Stegostoma tigrinum: one gene and its partner. The protein of the gene in region 2 binds, or shares a complex with, the protein of the main gene of each other region. Links are inferred from orthologs where the notes say so. Each region holds a gene or a part of one and is shown on either strand. Other genes may lie near its edges.

What was found. Proteins that work in one complex are often made in the same cells at the same time.
Region 1: eif3i (region 2) and eif3s10 share a complex: the UniProt entries of both Homo sapiens proteins name them as parts of the eukaryotic translation initiation factor 3 (eIF-3) complex. The link is inferred for Stegostoma tigrinum from reciprocal best matches to the Homo sapiens genes EIF3I and EIF3A.

What each region holds. Positions count from the first base shown.
Region 1 is NC_081373.1:17,491,759-17,498,834, reverse strand, and holds the start of eif3s10 (eukaryotic translation initiation factor 3 subunit A), read right to left. Parts: upstream 3,002-7,076; 5' UTR 2,901-3,001; coding exon 2,852-2,900; intron 1-2,851. Other genes in the region: dennd10 (DENN domain-containing protein 10), read left to right, coding at 6,968-7,007. UniProt on the Homo sapiens protein: RNA-binding component of the eukaryotic translation initiation factor 3 (eIF-3) complex, which is required for several steps in the initiation of protein synthesis.
Region 2 is NC_081377.1:45,623,241-45,631,118, reverse strand, and holds the start of eif3i (eukaryotic translation initiation factor 3 subunit I), read right to left. Parts: upstream 3,016-7,878; 5' UTR 3,006-3,015; coding exon of another isoform or gene 2,993-3,005; 5' UTR 2,898-2,992; coding exon 2,895-2,897; intron 1,039-2,894; coding exon 946-1,038; intron 1-945. Other genes in the region: tmem234 (transmembrane protein 234), read left to right, coding at 2,993-3,005, 5,549-5,700. UniProt on the Homo sapiens protein: Component of the eukaryotic translation initiation factor 3 (eIF-3) complex, which is required for several steps in the initiation of protein synthesis.

The DNA of each region.
Region 1 (7,076 bases), on a different chromosome or scaffold from region 2:
GCTGGTGTTTTTGGTCACCTTCTTTGTATCTTCTGACAATTCTTGGTCAGCTCTCTTAGCAGCAGCAGACTCACAGCGGTCTGGATCTCCCAGAGTTCATGGTGCCACATTCGTAACAGGTCAGGTGGGAAAACTCCCCCACGATGCATTCCAAAATACTGTTGATGAATAAGTTAATTACACTTGTGGCCTTGGAGATGCCAGAGCCAGTGAACTGGTTGCACTTTGTAGATGTAGCAACTTTCCTGGGCTTATTCCTTCTCCTGCTACATGTCATAGCTTTCTTAGCACCCTGTCCTTCCTTTTTTTCATCTATGGTGACAGTCAACTTCTGAATTGGGTTGGTTAGGTGAGAAAGAGGGGAAGCAAAATCCAAATGAGTTAAAAATCATGCAGATCCATTCAGTACATGAAAAACAACAGTCAAAAGGACTGCAAGTTAAACAATGTGTGTATCTGAGACTAACACATGGTCTATTTCATTCGTTAGCAGGAATTCTGAAACGAAGCATTCAGCACAAATCAAATATACTTTGATTATGAAAAACACTGATTTTCTTCCAAAATTTTAATGTACACTGGTAGGCTACTGAGCACTAAAACTTTTGACAAACTTATTCATCTGAAAGAGTACCTGAGGACAGAAGGACTTGCTTTTGTTCCAGTTTGATTGTATATTGGTTCTGAAAATATGGGTAAGACCAATGTGCAGTCTGTCACTTAGGGCAAGTGCTGCTTGAATGTTTTTCCAGACATGCGTTTCCTCCTTCGAAATGTCTTTGGCTTTGCTTCCGCATGTTCACAATGTGTTTGGCGTCTTCCTGAATAAACTTTCTCCATTTGGTCAGCATCAAGCTCAGGTCTTCTATGATTCAGGCAATTTGTTTAATTCCAAGCTAATCACCACATTTCCACACTTCTCTTCAGAGTTCCAAAGTTGAGAAAAAGGATTAGATCGCTGGTATCAACCAAACAACATGTCCCTCCCAGAAAAGCTAGTTTGAGTGTGGTGTCTCAACCCTGGACAACTTACTTGAGACAGTTTTGCTATTAGGTTGTTTTGCCACAGGAATTGAAAGATTTTGAAGGTACCAATGATGCTACGTCTCCAGTGTTTTCAAGTGTCAGCTTTAACTCATCCAAATCTCTGAAGTGCATACAAGTACAAAAAACACTGCGATCGATTAAACAGGACTTTCTTTAAAGAAAAGCAACAGCACCAACATGGCTTTTAATCAGCCTCACAAAGGCCTCTTGATTGCCAAATACGAAAGCTGATAGAGTCCTCTCAAATTTGGCTGGCCTCAAATCTGGCCACTATCCTCTGCCTGCTCTACTTTGTCACGCAAGAATTGATTCTCACTAACGGAACCCCAGACCCAGTGCAATTAAAATTTGGGCCAAAACAGGGCTGTGTCACTGAGCCAACCGAAAGGATTTCCTCCTGTTGGTAAACAAGCACTAAGATACCGTTAGCTCTAGGATTGTTTGTGTATACTGATGCCAAATCTCATTTTGCCATAGGCAAGTGAATATCTAGATTTATCTCAAGATCTAAAGTGAGGACTTCGCATCTCCATAATGTCTACCAACCACCACAATTTTGATTTTTCATTCTCAGCCCTCATGAGTAACACTTTTCAAATCTATGTTGATCTGTATTGATTAGACTATACAAGTTCATTCACATAGATACATTAGGATCCAGGAACTTCACTTAAACTGATGCTAAACTAACAAGTGTTATTTTCTGATATCACCCTGCCATCCCCCATGAGCCCCACTAACTTTTATTATTTTTAGTACTTTCTTGCTTTTCCTGTCACATCATGCAAATCTTCCCATTCCTTTACTGGTTTCACACACTTCCTACAGACCTAGGAACCTTTGTTGCATTTATTATAATGCAACATAATCCTTAAAATTTCCCAATTTTCTTGGAAAGATCTGCTTAGAATATATTTCCAAATCAAAAGGCACTACACACCCCAGATATCACTTCCAACTCCCAGTTCATTACATAAAGTACCACCTTATCACTAACAAAATATATCCTTGCAAAATAAAGTTAGATAAGACCAAAGTGGAAAACATTTTAAGCAGATTAGATAAATCAAACTGTTGCCTTAATAAGAAAAAAAAGGGAACAAAATGTGAGGCTGGATGAACACAGCAGGCCAAGCAGCATCATGAGATGCTGCTTGGCCTGCTGTGTTCATCCAGCCTCACATTTTGTTGTCTTGGATTCTCCAGCATCTGCAGTTCCCATTATCTCAGAAAAAAAAGGGACATCCTTTAAGATAACAGTATTCAGTATACCCAAAAGATGGTATTAATCTGAGACCCAATCAGCAAATAAACAAAATAAACACAATCACTAAACTGAAAGAATACATTTTATTTGGTCGGAGGACCAATGATGAATAGGGAAAACTCAATATTCATGAATCATCAGTATGGCTTTCAACCTCAAAACAAAATTAAACATTAGATAGTATCAGATGTGCAAAAAAGGTAAAGACGTCTAACAACTAGTTTACTGATGCAAGCATCTAGGCTCAAAAATACAACTTAAATTTCAACTTAAGATCAGGAAAATTTCCCTTCCAGGACGATGCATAAATCCAGATATTTTTAACGAAAAAAAATAAAGCAAGTGACAAGCGAAATCAATGTTCTATTTTATATAAAAAGGAATCGCCATTAAGTTAATGACAGGTCGAGCAACATGTGCATGAGCCACAGGCCTGGTACAAGGCCGCAGCCGCAGCCTCACCCTCCTCCAGGTCAGCGCCACCTCAGCCGCATGGCCCAGGCCAAATCTCTCCCCTCGCTAACCCCGGCCACTTACCATTGGCTCTTTTCAGGGCGTTCTCGGGTCTCTGAAAATACGCCGGCATAGTTTCAGACTCCGCACTCCCTCAACAGCCTGAACTACCACCAGCGGAGCTGCGCGGCACTGAACAGACGGTTTCAAAATGGAGGCCGGCGTCACGTGACGTATACGTCCCCCACGTGACCCGCCCGGCGCCCGTCGGGACCTTGCACAGGCGCACTCCAACAGCAAGCCGTCCGGCGCATGCGCGCTGCGACCCACTCAAGTCTTTCAAGTTTAGTAAGTTCCAGGTATGAGCATTCTGTGGATTGTGGAGAATTAAATAAAACAGTTAGGAGAGCAGGCGGAAAAAACATCATTTTCTGTTCCACCTTTCACGATCTCAGTTCGCAGAACCCTCGGGGCGCCAGTTTAAGTCTGAAATGAGGAGGAATTTCACCTCTGAGAGGGTTGTGAATCTTTAGAGTTCCTTGCCTCAAAGAGCTCTTGAGAGCAAATTGCTTGTGTATCTTTTAAGGCGGAGGTAGACAGATTCATGATCAGTTGGAGAATCCAGGATTACGGAGAAAGGCAGGGAAGTAAGAGTGTGCAATGTGGGACCAGCCATAATCATTTTCAATGCTGGAGCAGGCGCGAAGGACCTGACGACCAACTCTTGTTCCTATTTCTCACTACCTTTATGGTCAATGAAATACTTCTGAAGTTCAGTCTTTGTTGTCATGTAGGTATATATGTTCAACAAACTGCCATCAAGAGCAACCAGACAATGACCTGACTTTTCTTTAAATATGATGTACAGATTAAGGAATAAATACAGAGACAGGGTAGAAGTCTATTCTTGAAATAATACTGTGGGATTTTGTATATTTTCCTGTGAAAATATAGAGAGTCTCACTTTAACTTCTCATCTGAACAAAGCAAGGGTGGCGATCCAGCTGGCTACACACTTTAGTTTATTATGATCTGAAATGGGGGAACAGCCCTTGAGTCTGAAGCAAGAGCATAACCCCATCCAAATCGCAGTTGCCATTATATGCACTTTGTTTGTTAAAACAACTGATCTATTTACCATTGTTTAAACCAAAGTGTATTTCAATTATTGATAAACATGGGATTAAAAATAAAAAGAACATGTCAATTATTGGAATTATCATTTTAAAATTTAGCCTGATAGCCAAGGATTACTAACTTCACAAAAACATTACATGCTTTCATTATAAGCAAATAATAATGCTTACTGAGATTCCATGTTGTAGGATTATAAATGTGATTATATTACTAGACCAATAATCCAAAGAACTGACTTCAAAAGCTGCAATGCTATATGGCGATTTGAGATCACTTTATTAAAAACTGGAAATAAAAGGCTGGCACCAGTAAAAGTGAATAGATGGTTTGGCAGTAAGTAATGTTGTTTAAAGTGGGTGAGTGGGGGAATGTGGTGGACTATGCTTACTTAGTTTGACATAATGATGACTGTGGTCTCACACTGGAATGTTTGATTCTTAACCAAGCGAAGTAGTCCAATAAGGCACTCAGATATATTCAACTACTATTACAAATAAATGTATAGACTTTAGTATTTCAAGAAAAGCCACACCACTGTTTTTCATAGCAATTAGTGATAAACAATGAATGTCAACATAATGTACATTTTGATGTTTTTCTTTTGAATGCAGACAAGTTTGGAAAATATTTATTTTCAGTAGTATAATACTCTGGTATTCTACAGATGAACAAGTTTATTTTCCTTAAATAATTACAATCTACAACTTCAATTTAAATTGATTGTATTGATATTTTGTAAGAGTATCATGCAGTAAGTCTTGCTGTTTGGAATGTCAGTCTGTTACATTTTTTAAAAGAATGTGCTGATTTCAATGATTTTATAAATGGATATTATCAATTTAATTCTCCTTGAGAGAGAGCAGGTGCATAAGGGGGTGTCAGAGCTTAGTCCAGCTTATCCAACACAACCATGCAGGACAAAGAAAAATGTGGGGCATGGCCACAAAAATATGGGAAATGCTGCTATGTCCCACATCCAATATCCAATCAATGCAAGCTTATCATAAACCCTAGAAACAAATCCTGACAATAGATTAGTGATAGATTACAAACCTGATTTCAAAGCACTGGCAGTCATAGATGTCACATGAGACTTGATGAATAAATTACAAATCAATAATTATTTATACTTGGCTTTAGATTTACATATCCCTAAAAATAAAATGTTTGTTTGATTTTATTCTTCAAGGTAGATCCTGGTTGCACTTAAATAGTGATATTAACCTTAAAGGTTTGGAGACCGCTGAGCTAGATTATGTAAACAAAATGGTATCTGACCAAGCGCCTATACATAAACTGCTGGTCATTTCATTTATACTTTGTATTATTAAATAACAACAACATATTTTAATATGTAGCGGGTACGAGAAGACAATTAAATTCTGAAGAGTTCTCAGCTTCCCTTTTTTTAGGAGCCAGTATACAAAGATGTTTCATGTTATTTCTCTGATATCTTAAACAATATTTTAAACAGCTCATTTTGACATTGGGAATTAATGTGGGATGCACTTGTCAGAATATGCTAGAAACAGTTGTTGCAATGGGACCCTTTTTTGGGTGCTAATGGAACTGCAGTGTACTTTTTGTTAGTGGGGACATGATGGCCTAGTGGTATTATAGGTCCACTATTAATCCAGTGACCCTGGTCATACTCTGGCAGTCTGGGTTTGAATCCTGTCAAGGCAGATGATGAAATTTGAATTCAATAAATATCTGCAATTAGGAGTCTAATAGTAACTCTGAAACTATTGTCAATTGTTGGAAAAAAAACATCTAGTTCACTCAGAGATAGTAAGAACTACAGATGCTGGAGTCAGATATAACACAGCGTGTAGCTGCAGGAACACAGCAGGCCAGGTAGCATAGAGGAGCAGGAAAGTTGACATTTCAGGTCGGGACCCTTCTTCAGAAATTTCTAGAGAAGAGTCCAGACCTGAACATTAACTTTCCTGCTCCTCTGATGCTACCTGGCCTGCTGTGTTCCTCCAACTCCACACTGTGTTACCATCTGGTCACTAATGTTTTTTAAGGGAAGGAAACTACCATCCCTACCTGAGATAATAAGGTGTAGAACTGGGTGAACACAGCCGGCCAAGAGGCATCATAGGAGCACCTCGCCTGGCCGACCCATTACTCCAGACTCACAGCAACGTGTTTGACATTCAACTACCCTCTGGGCAATTAGGGATGGGGAATAAATGTTGGCCTGACCGATGATGCCTACCACCTGAGAATAAATTTTTGTAATTGTCTTATTTACGCCAATGATGGGCTTCATTTTGATTCGGAGTATTCAGTGTAAGATTACTCAAACAGAAAACAAAGTTCAAAATATCCTTTTGTCGTAAAGGTTTAGGTCCTTGAGAGTGTGTTCTACATTATTCTTTGCACGTCTCTGTCCAGTGACCTCAGGCATAGAGTCATAGAATTGTGTAGGACGGAAACACATCCTTCAGATCAACTCGTCCATGCTGACCAGATATCCTAAATTAATCTAGTTCCATTTGCCAGTATTTGGCCCACGTCCCTCTAAATCCTTCTTATCATATACCCATCCAGGTGCCTTTTAAATGTAGTAATTGTACCAGCCTCTACCACTTCGTCTGATAGCTCATTCATAAACGCACCACCCTCTGTGTGAAGTCCTGACACAATCCCCTCAGTGACAGTCGGACGGGTTTTAATGTGAAGCCGGAGGTCCTGAAAGATAAGAGGGAGGAAATGCTGTTTGCATTTTTGATCTAAAAAAACCCTTCCGAAATAAAAGAAAGCGAAAGAGTAACAGTTGTACTAAGTTTACATTAAGTTTAGTAGCGGCAAATTAGTGACAGAACCCGCATTTTGTAAAATTAACTGAGATGAACAGTGTTTGTGTTGCTAGTTACATTGTATAGACATTGTATTAGTATAGCAGCTCAGTGATAGCTACAGTTAGCAAAGTACAGCAACAGTTTCATTTCAATCTGTAGTGATTTATTGTTCAATTCCTGTTGAAGATATATTCGGAGGGAGTGTTTCCCCATTCATTTATAGAAACGGAGCTGCTGACGCGTTGGACAGACTATGGCAGAGACGCCTCCGATGCTGAGCGTGGGGTTGGTCGGTAAGAGTCCACAGATAGGAATTGGGATTGTATGTACAATTACATCCTGCTGTCCTAACAGGGTGACGA
Region 2 (7,878 bases):
CAGAACAATGTCTATCTACTCAGGAAGGGATATGGGATTTATCCATTTTGTTTAGCATAGGTTTGGGCCGAGTCAGAGGCCCAGTGTACAGACACCATTGTCTTTTAGAATAATCAAAAGTGGACAGTTAGTAAGGATTTCAACATTTTGACTACACAAATATTTCACCTTATTTCACTTTCCATAGCAGAAAGGGCTCAAGGAAATGACCTCAAAATAGAAAGACAAATTTTTTTTATACATTGCTAATTCAAAACCTGCACTACCAGAGCTATGGTTACCCAAGAGATGAGCAGAGGCACAATGAAAGGAACTTACTTTGCTTCACACTGGTAGAAAATGACGCTATTTTTATTTTTCAACAGCATCCCACCAAGACACACCCCACCATATCCCTGTAACCTTGCATTTCCCATGGCTAACCCACCAAGCCTGCACATCCCTGGGCACTAAGGACAATTTAGCATGGCTAATCCACCTAACCTGCACATCTTTGGACTGTGGGATGAAACCGGAGCACCCGGAGGAAACCCACGCAGACACGAGGAGAATGTGCAAACTCCACACAGACAGTCGCCCGAGGGTGGAACTGAACCCAGATGCCTGGCCCTGTGAGGTATCAGTGTTAATTGCTGAGCCAACACGCTCTCAGAAGTTAGCAAATTTGTGAAATTCTTTACTGTAGGGGCCATCAAGGCTGGGATAAACAGATTTTAGTCAGCAAGGGAATCAAAGATTGTGGAGGCAAAAGGCAGAAAAGTGGAGTTGAGAATGATCACATCAGCCAGAAAAGGCAGAGGAGACTTCACAGACCGAGTGACCTACTTCTGCTCCCAAGTCTTTCTGTTGTAATTACACACATGCACAATGTGAATATTGCAGCCAAGATAGCAAACTAATGGAATAAGTTATCACAACATTCCATCATTTGTAAGTTATACTTACAGTATCTTTTGCACAAGAGAACAGCAAATCACCTTCTCTATTGTACTTAATTTGGGTGATTGATCTTTCATGACCTTGTAACAGGATGGGCTTCTGCAAAAAAAAATTAAAACATGATGTATTACAGCAATGAAACAAGCTCCATTAATTCCAGTTCTGAGCAACGGTCACCGGACCTGAAACGTTAACTCTCCACAGATACTGCCAGACCTGTTGAGCTTTTCCAGCAACTTTGTTTTTGTTCCTGATTTACAGCAACTGCAGCAGCTCTTTTGGTTTTTATTAAGCTCCATTAATTACTCAATTTCAACATATTGATAAAATACTAAAAGTCTGTAAATCTCAAGGTTTAAGGGCCACAACTCAGTTTTGTACCATAGAAATATATTTCTCTTGCTCCCTGCAACAGTCATCCTGATCTAAATAGTATTAGCATTCTTACTTTTCAATACATACAATTACCTCTCTATATTATGTCCATCATTACTCTTTAATAAGCAATGCAATAACCAACAAGCTGTCCTGGTCTTCCCACACAGTTGCGACAGTCAAGAAAGCAAAACAATGCCTCGAGTTCTTCACGAGACTTAGGAAATTTGGCATGTCAATAAGGACCCTCACCAACTTTTGCAGATGCACATTAAAAAGGAATTCCATCTGGGTGCATCATGGCTTGGTACAGCAACTGCTCTGCCCAGGACCATAAGAAACGACAGAAAGTTGTGTGCACAGTCCAGACCATTACACAGGCCAACCTCCCATCCATGGACTCCATCTACGCATGCTGGAGAAAGGCAGCCAACATCAAAGATCCCGATCCTCCACCCACCCTTGCAATTCTCTTTTCCAAACTCGTCTGTGTCAGGCAGAAAATACAGAAGCTTGTAAACAAGCCCCAACAGGTTCTAGAACAGTTTCTTCCCCTCTGTTATCAGGCTACTGAATGGTCCTCTCTAACTTCAAACCTTATGTTAATGTTGCTTTTATGCACCTTCTCTGCAGCCATAACCTTGTATGTCTCGCTCAAACTCAACACCTTATGATCTGTGTGTTTGCTATGATCTGCCTGTATTGCTTAAAGAAAACTTCTCACTGTACATAGGTACGGGACTACAACAAATCAAATTAACGATACTCACTGTAACCTCTAAATCTCCAGAGTACCACACTACTACTCTCCAACACTCGCCGTGCCCCCTCAGTCCCTCTAATACCCACACTACTACTCTCCAACACTCGCCGTGCCCCCTCAGTCCCTCTAATGCCCGCATTATTACTCTCCAACACTCGCCGTGCCCCCTCAGTCCCTCTAATACCCACACTACTACTCTCCAACACTCGCCGTGCCCCCTCAGTCCCTCTAATGCCCGCATTATTACTCTCCAACACTCGCCGTGCCCCCTCAGTCCCTCTAATACCCACACTACTACTCTCCAACACTCGCCGTGCCCCCTCAGTCCCTCTAATGCCCGCATTATTACTCTCTAACACTCGCCGTGCCCCCTCAGTCCCTCTATTACCCCCCACTATTGCTCTCTAACACTCGCCGTGCCCCCTCAGTCCCTCTATTACCCCCCACTATTGCTCTCTAACACTCACCGTGCCCCCTCAGTCCCTCTATTACCCCCCACTATTGCTCTTTAACACTCGCCGTGCCCCCTCAGTCCCTCTAATACCCACATTATTACTCTCCAACACTCACCGTGCTCCCTCAGTCCCTCTATTACCCCCCGCTATTGCTCTCTAACACTCGCCGTGCCCCCTCAGTCCCTCTATTACCCCCCATTATTACTCTTTAACACTCGCCGTGCCCCCTCAGTCCCTCTATTGCTCTCTAACACTCGCCGTGCCCCCTCAGTCCCTCTATTACCCCCCCATTATTACTCTTTAACACTCGCCGTGCCCCCTCAGTCCCTCTAATACCCACATTATTACTCTCCAACACTCACCATGCTGACAGCGGAGCCTGTAGAGAACCCGGAAATGATGTGTCTGGCGCCGCCGGAAATGACCCTGGGCGGGGTCAGGGATCAAGTAACCCGCTGCTATGGCGACCGTCGGTGAGTGATCTTCAAAACACCCGCCTCCCGCCAGACCCCGGGACACGCCTCCCCTCCCCCGCGGTCACTCTCTCCCCCCCCCCCCCCTCCTCCCCCGCGGTCACTCTCTCCCCCCCCCCCCCCCTCCTTCCCCGCGGTCACTCTCTCTCTCTCCCCCCCCCCTCCCCCGCGGTCACTCTCTCTCTCTCTCTCTCCCCCCCCCTCCCCCGCGGTCACTCTCTCCCTCCCCCGCGGTCACTCTCTCTCTCCGCCCCTCCCCCGCGGTCACTCACTCTCTCCCCCCCTCCCCCGCGGTCACTCTCTCTCCCCCCCTCCCCCGCGGTCACTCTCTCTCCCCCCTCCTCCCCCGCGGTCACTCTCTCCCTCCCCTCCTCCCCCGCGGTCACTCTCTCTCTCCCCTCCTTCCCCGCGGTCACTCTCTCTCTCCCCTCCTTCCCCGCGGTCACTCTCTCCCTCCCCTCCTTCCCCGCGGTCACTCTCTTCCCCCCCCTCCTCCCCAGCGGTCACTCTCTCCCTCCCCTCCTTCCCCGCGGTCACTCTCTCTCCCCCCTCCTTCCCCGCGGTCACTCTCTCTCCCCCCTCCTTCCCCGCGGTCACTCTCTCTCTCCCCCCTCCTTCCCCGCGGTCACTCTCTCCCCCCCCTCCTTCCCCGCGGTCACTCTCTCCCCCCCCCTCCTTCCCCGCGGTCACTCTCTTCCCCCCCTCCTTCCCCGCGGTCACTCTCTCTCTCTCTCCCCTCCTTCCCCGCGGTCACTCTCTCTCCCCCCCCCCTCCTTCCCCGCGGTCACTCTCTCTCCCCCCTCCTTCCCCGCGGTCACTCTCTCTCCCCCCTCCTTCCCCGCGGTCACTCTCTCTCTCCCCTCCTCCCCCGCGGTCACTCTCTCTCTCTCCCCTCCTTCCCCGTGGTCACTCTCTCTCTCCCCTCCTTCCCCGCGGTCACTCTCTCTCCCCCCCCCTCCCTCCCCGAGGTCACTCGCTCCCCCGCCTCCTTCCCCGCAGTCACTCTCTCTCCCCCCTCCTTCCCTGCGGTCACCCATACTCACTCCCTCCCTCTGGTCAGTTGCTCCTCTCTGATCTTGTTGGGTAGATATCAGGACTGAGCGCTCCCTTTTTTTCCTCCTTACGAGCAAACGCTCAAAATTCAAACCATCTCAGTCCCCACAAGTTCATCAAATGTCTTTGGGATTAGGAAATACACAAACACAGCCGTCTTTATTGAAAAACAATTGTGCATTTCTCAAATAAGATAACAAGGTGTCGGGCTGGATGATCACAGCAGTCCAGGCAGCATCAGAGCAGCAGGAAAGCTGACCTTTCGGGCCTAGACCCTCCTTCAGAAATAAACAGAAAGAGGGTGAGATGATGATAGACCAGCAGATAGGTGGAGTGAACATGGACAGCTCAAGGAGGCAGGGATGGAGCCAGTGAAGGTGAGTGTATGTAAGGAGTTGGGGTAGGGGTTGGTTAATGAGGATGGAGGGGGCGGGCAGGTGGGAGAGAAGACAGACAGATCAAGGAGGAGGGTTTGAGGAGGTGCTGGTCTTAGGATTCAGTTGGGAGCAGGGAGATTTTGAGGCTAGTAAAGTCCACATTGAGACCAATGGGTTGTAGGGTTCGCAGGCAGAATGCAAGGTGCTGTTCCTCCTGCTTCCGGCCGGCATCAGTGTAACCCTGAAGGTAGCCCAGGATGGATATGTCGTCCAGGGAGTGCGAGGGGGAGTTGAAGTGGTTTGCAACTGGGAGGTGCTCTTGTGTCGCTTTTCACGAACCAAGTGTAGGTGCTCCACAAAGCGGTCTCTGATCCTCTGCTTGGTCTCCCCGATGTAGAGGAAGCCACATCAAGAACAGCGAATACAAAAGACCACATTGGCACAGGTGCAGATGAACACCTGTTTAATGTGGAAGGTGTTTTTGGGCCTGGGATGGAGGTGAGGGAGGAGGTATAGGTGCAGGTGTAGCACTTCCTGCGGTTGCAGGGAAAAGTGCCTGGGATGGTGGGGCTGGAGCGGAGTGTGGAGCGGATAAAGGAGTCCAGGAGAGAGTGGTCCCTCCAGAAAGCAGGTAAGAGTGGGGATGGAAAAATGTCTTTGGTGGTGGGGTCAGATTCCAGATGGCGGAAATGTCGGAGGATGATGCTTTGGATCGGGTGATGGGGTGGTACGTGAGGACGAGGGGAATACTGTCTTTGTTGTTACTGCGGATAGGGAGTGTGAGGGCTGACCCGTGGGAAATGCAAGAGGTGCAGTTGAGTGCGTTTTTTGATCACTGAGGGGGAGAAATTACAGTCCTTAAAACTATTTGCTGATATCTGCAGGAAAGTTGTATGTAAGAGAGAAATCAGACTTAACATTTTGGGTTGAGTGACCCTTCCTCAAAACTGATGATAGCTAGGAAAATGTCAATTTTTGTCAATTTATTCACCGTGTTGTGGTGAATATTGGCTTGGCCTCATATTGTAAAGTTTTTCTTGAAATGTCACCGATGGAACTGAAATATCAATCAGTGTGATTTCCTTAGAGTCTTCGTCAATGTCTTTGTTTCAGTGGAAGTTTGCTGCCTCCTCCTTGTGGCACTGCTTTGGGGTGGAACAAACCCTTTTCTGAAGAAGGGCACGGAGGGAATAGAAAAGGTTAAGTCTAGAAACGTTGTCATTCAGCTCTTTGTAGAGATGAAGTTTTTATTTCTTAATTACAAGGTAAGAAAATTATTTTGAAATGCTGTACTGTATTGCATTCCTAAAATCATGTGAACTGCCAGCAGGAGAATCGCTTGGTTTTCGCTTTAGCCATCTTTATTTCAAGTAAAAATTTAATTAGTGAATGATCATAGAGTCCCTACAGTGTGGAAACAGGCTACTCAGCCCAACAAGTCCATGCCGACTCTTCAAAGAGCATCACTCCCCTACCCCAACCCTGCATTTACCATGGCTTATTCATTTGGCTGACACACTATGGGCAATTTCCCATGGCTAATCCACCTAACCTGCACTTCTTTGCACAGTGGGAGGAAGCCCACACAACACGGGGAGAATGTACAAACTCCACACAGACAGTCACCCAAAGTTGGAATTGAACCCAGGTTCCTGCTGCTGTGGGGCAGCAGTGCTCATCACTGAACCACTGTTGTAAACGGAGTCATGATTTGTCATTAATGTGATTTTTATGATCATCCTTTCACCACACCAACCAAAACCACAAAGCCAGTGTTGATTTCTTAACAGCGCTAGACCAAGTTTGCTCGCTGAGCTGGAAGGTTAGTTTTCAGACGTTTCGTCACCATTCTAGGTAACATCATCAGTGAGCCTCCGACGAAGCGCTGGTGTTATGTCCCGCTTTCTATTTATCTGTTTAGGTTTCCTTGGGTTGGTGATGTCAGGTAAATAGAAAGCAGGACATAACACCAGCGCTTCGTCGGAGGCTCACTGATGATGTTACCTGGAATGGTGACGAAACGTCTGAAAACTAACCTTCCAGCTCAGCGAGAAAACTCACATCCAGAACCTCAACCTGAGCTACAAATCTTCTCAAAACTCGCTAGCGCAAGACCAAGTTTAGCACTTGCTTTTTGACAGCCAGCATGCTGCAATTATGAGAGTCCCTTCCTGCTTTTCATTGTTTTTTCCCTAACTTTACCAAACTGTTCAACTGAACCCATAGAACAATTCGCAGAATTGATATTTTCTTACTGGTGTTGCCCAGTTCTCCAACTCTGACACAGCCATCATTACAACCATGATTACACCATTACTACTACCACGATCTCCCTCCTGCTCTCTAGCTGTTCCAGAATGACTGTGATCGTTGGAGCTGGTTAGTGTTTGCACCCCAGTCTTTCTGACTGGTCTGTTCAAACTGACCAGAGTTTTAAAAAACAGAAAGAACTGTGGACGCTGGAAATCAGAAACGGAAACAAAAATTGCTGGAAAGCTCAGCAGGTCTGGCTGTGTCTGTGGAGAGAAATCAGAGTTAACATTTCAGGTCCAGTGACCCTTCCTCAGCAACTTCTGTTTTTGTTGCTGGAAATAGAGATGGCTGTAATGCAGAAGATAGGGTGATGGGAGGGGGTAAGGAGCAAGCAATATGTGCAGCTAGATCCCAAAGAGATAGAAGAACAGTTGGACAGACAAAGGAGGGATGATGGCCAACCTAGGAGAATGAATGGCTGCTGATATCAACTATTGGTGGCTAACAATTGCAGGCCATGTGATAACAAGACCTGGTGTGTGGTGGTTGGCAGGTCTATAGATCGTAAAATCTATTGACTGACAAACCACATTAACAACAATTCCCACTGACCATTCTCAACTGGAAGCAGGCCATTCACACTCAACCAGCCCATGCTTGCTAGGGTCAGGAAAGTATATCCACCATTAGATGTGATTCTGTTGTTGCGAATCATTTATTAAATAAGTCAGTCTGCACTGAGAGTAAAACTGGAAACCAAAATCATCAGTGGGGCCCGCAGAGCGCGTATTCACAGCTATGTACAGAAATACTCAGGATCCTGTGTCATGTAGTCAACAGGAATTTATATGTACATTGCACCTTTTTCATGGAGAAGAGATATGGCCATGAGGAATGCCAATCTTAGCTGCATTCCCATGGAGATACTGCCGAATCAGAATTTTCCTGTCTGCTCTGAGAATTAAGACTGATGCCGGTGGGGTCCAGCCAATCAGCATGCTTCTCTCATTCTGTATAAATTGATGTCCATTTTTAAAAGTTTTTTTGCACTCTTGATAAGAACAAAACAAAAACCTTCAACTTTTAGTCTCCTTTTAACAATGTTTAAACAGGAGCTGTTATTGTGAATGCAAATAGGCAGTTTACGGACATGAAGATTCCACAGTCAGCACAGAGACAGGTTACTCTGT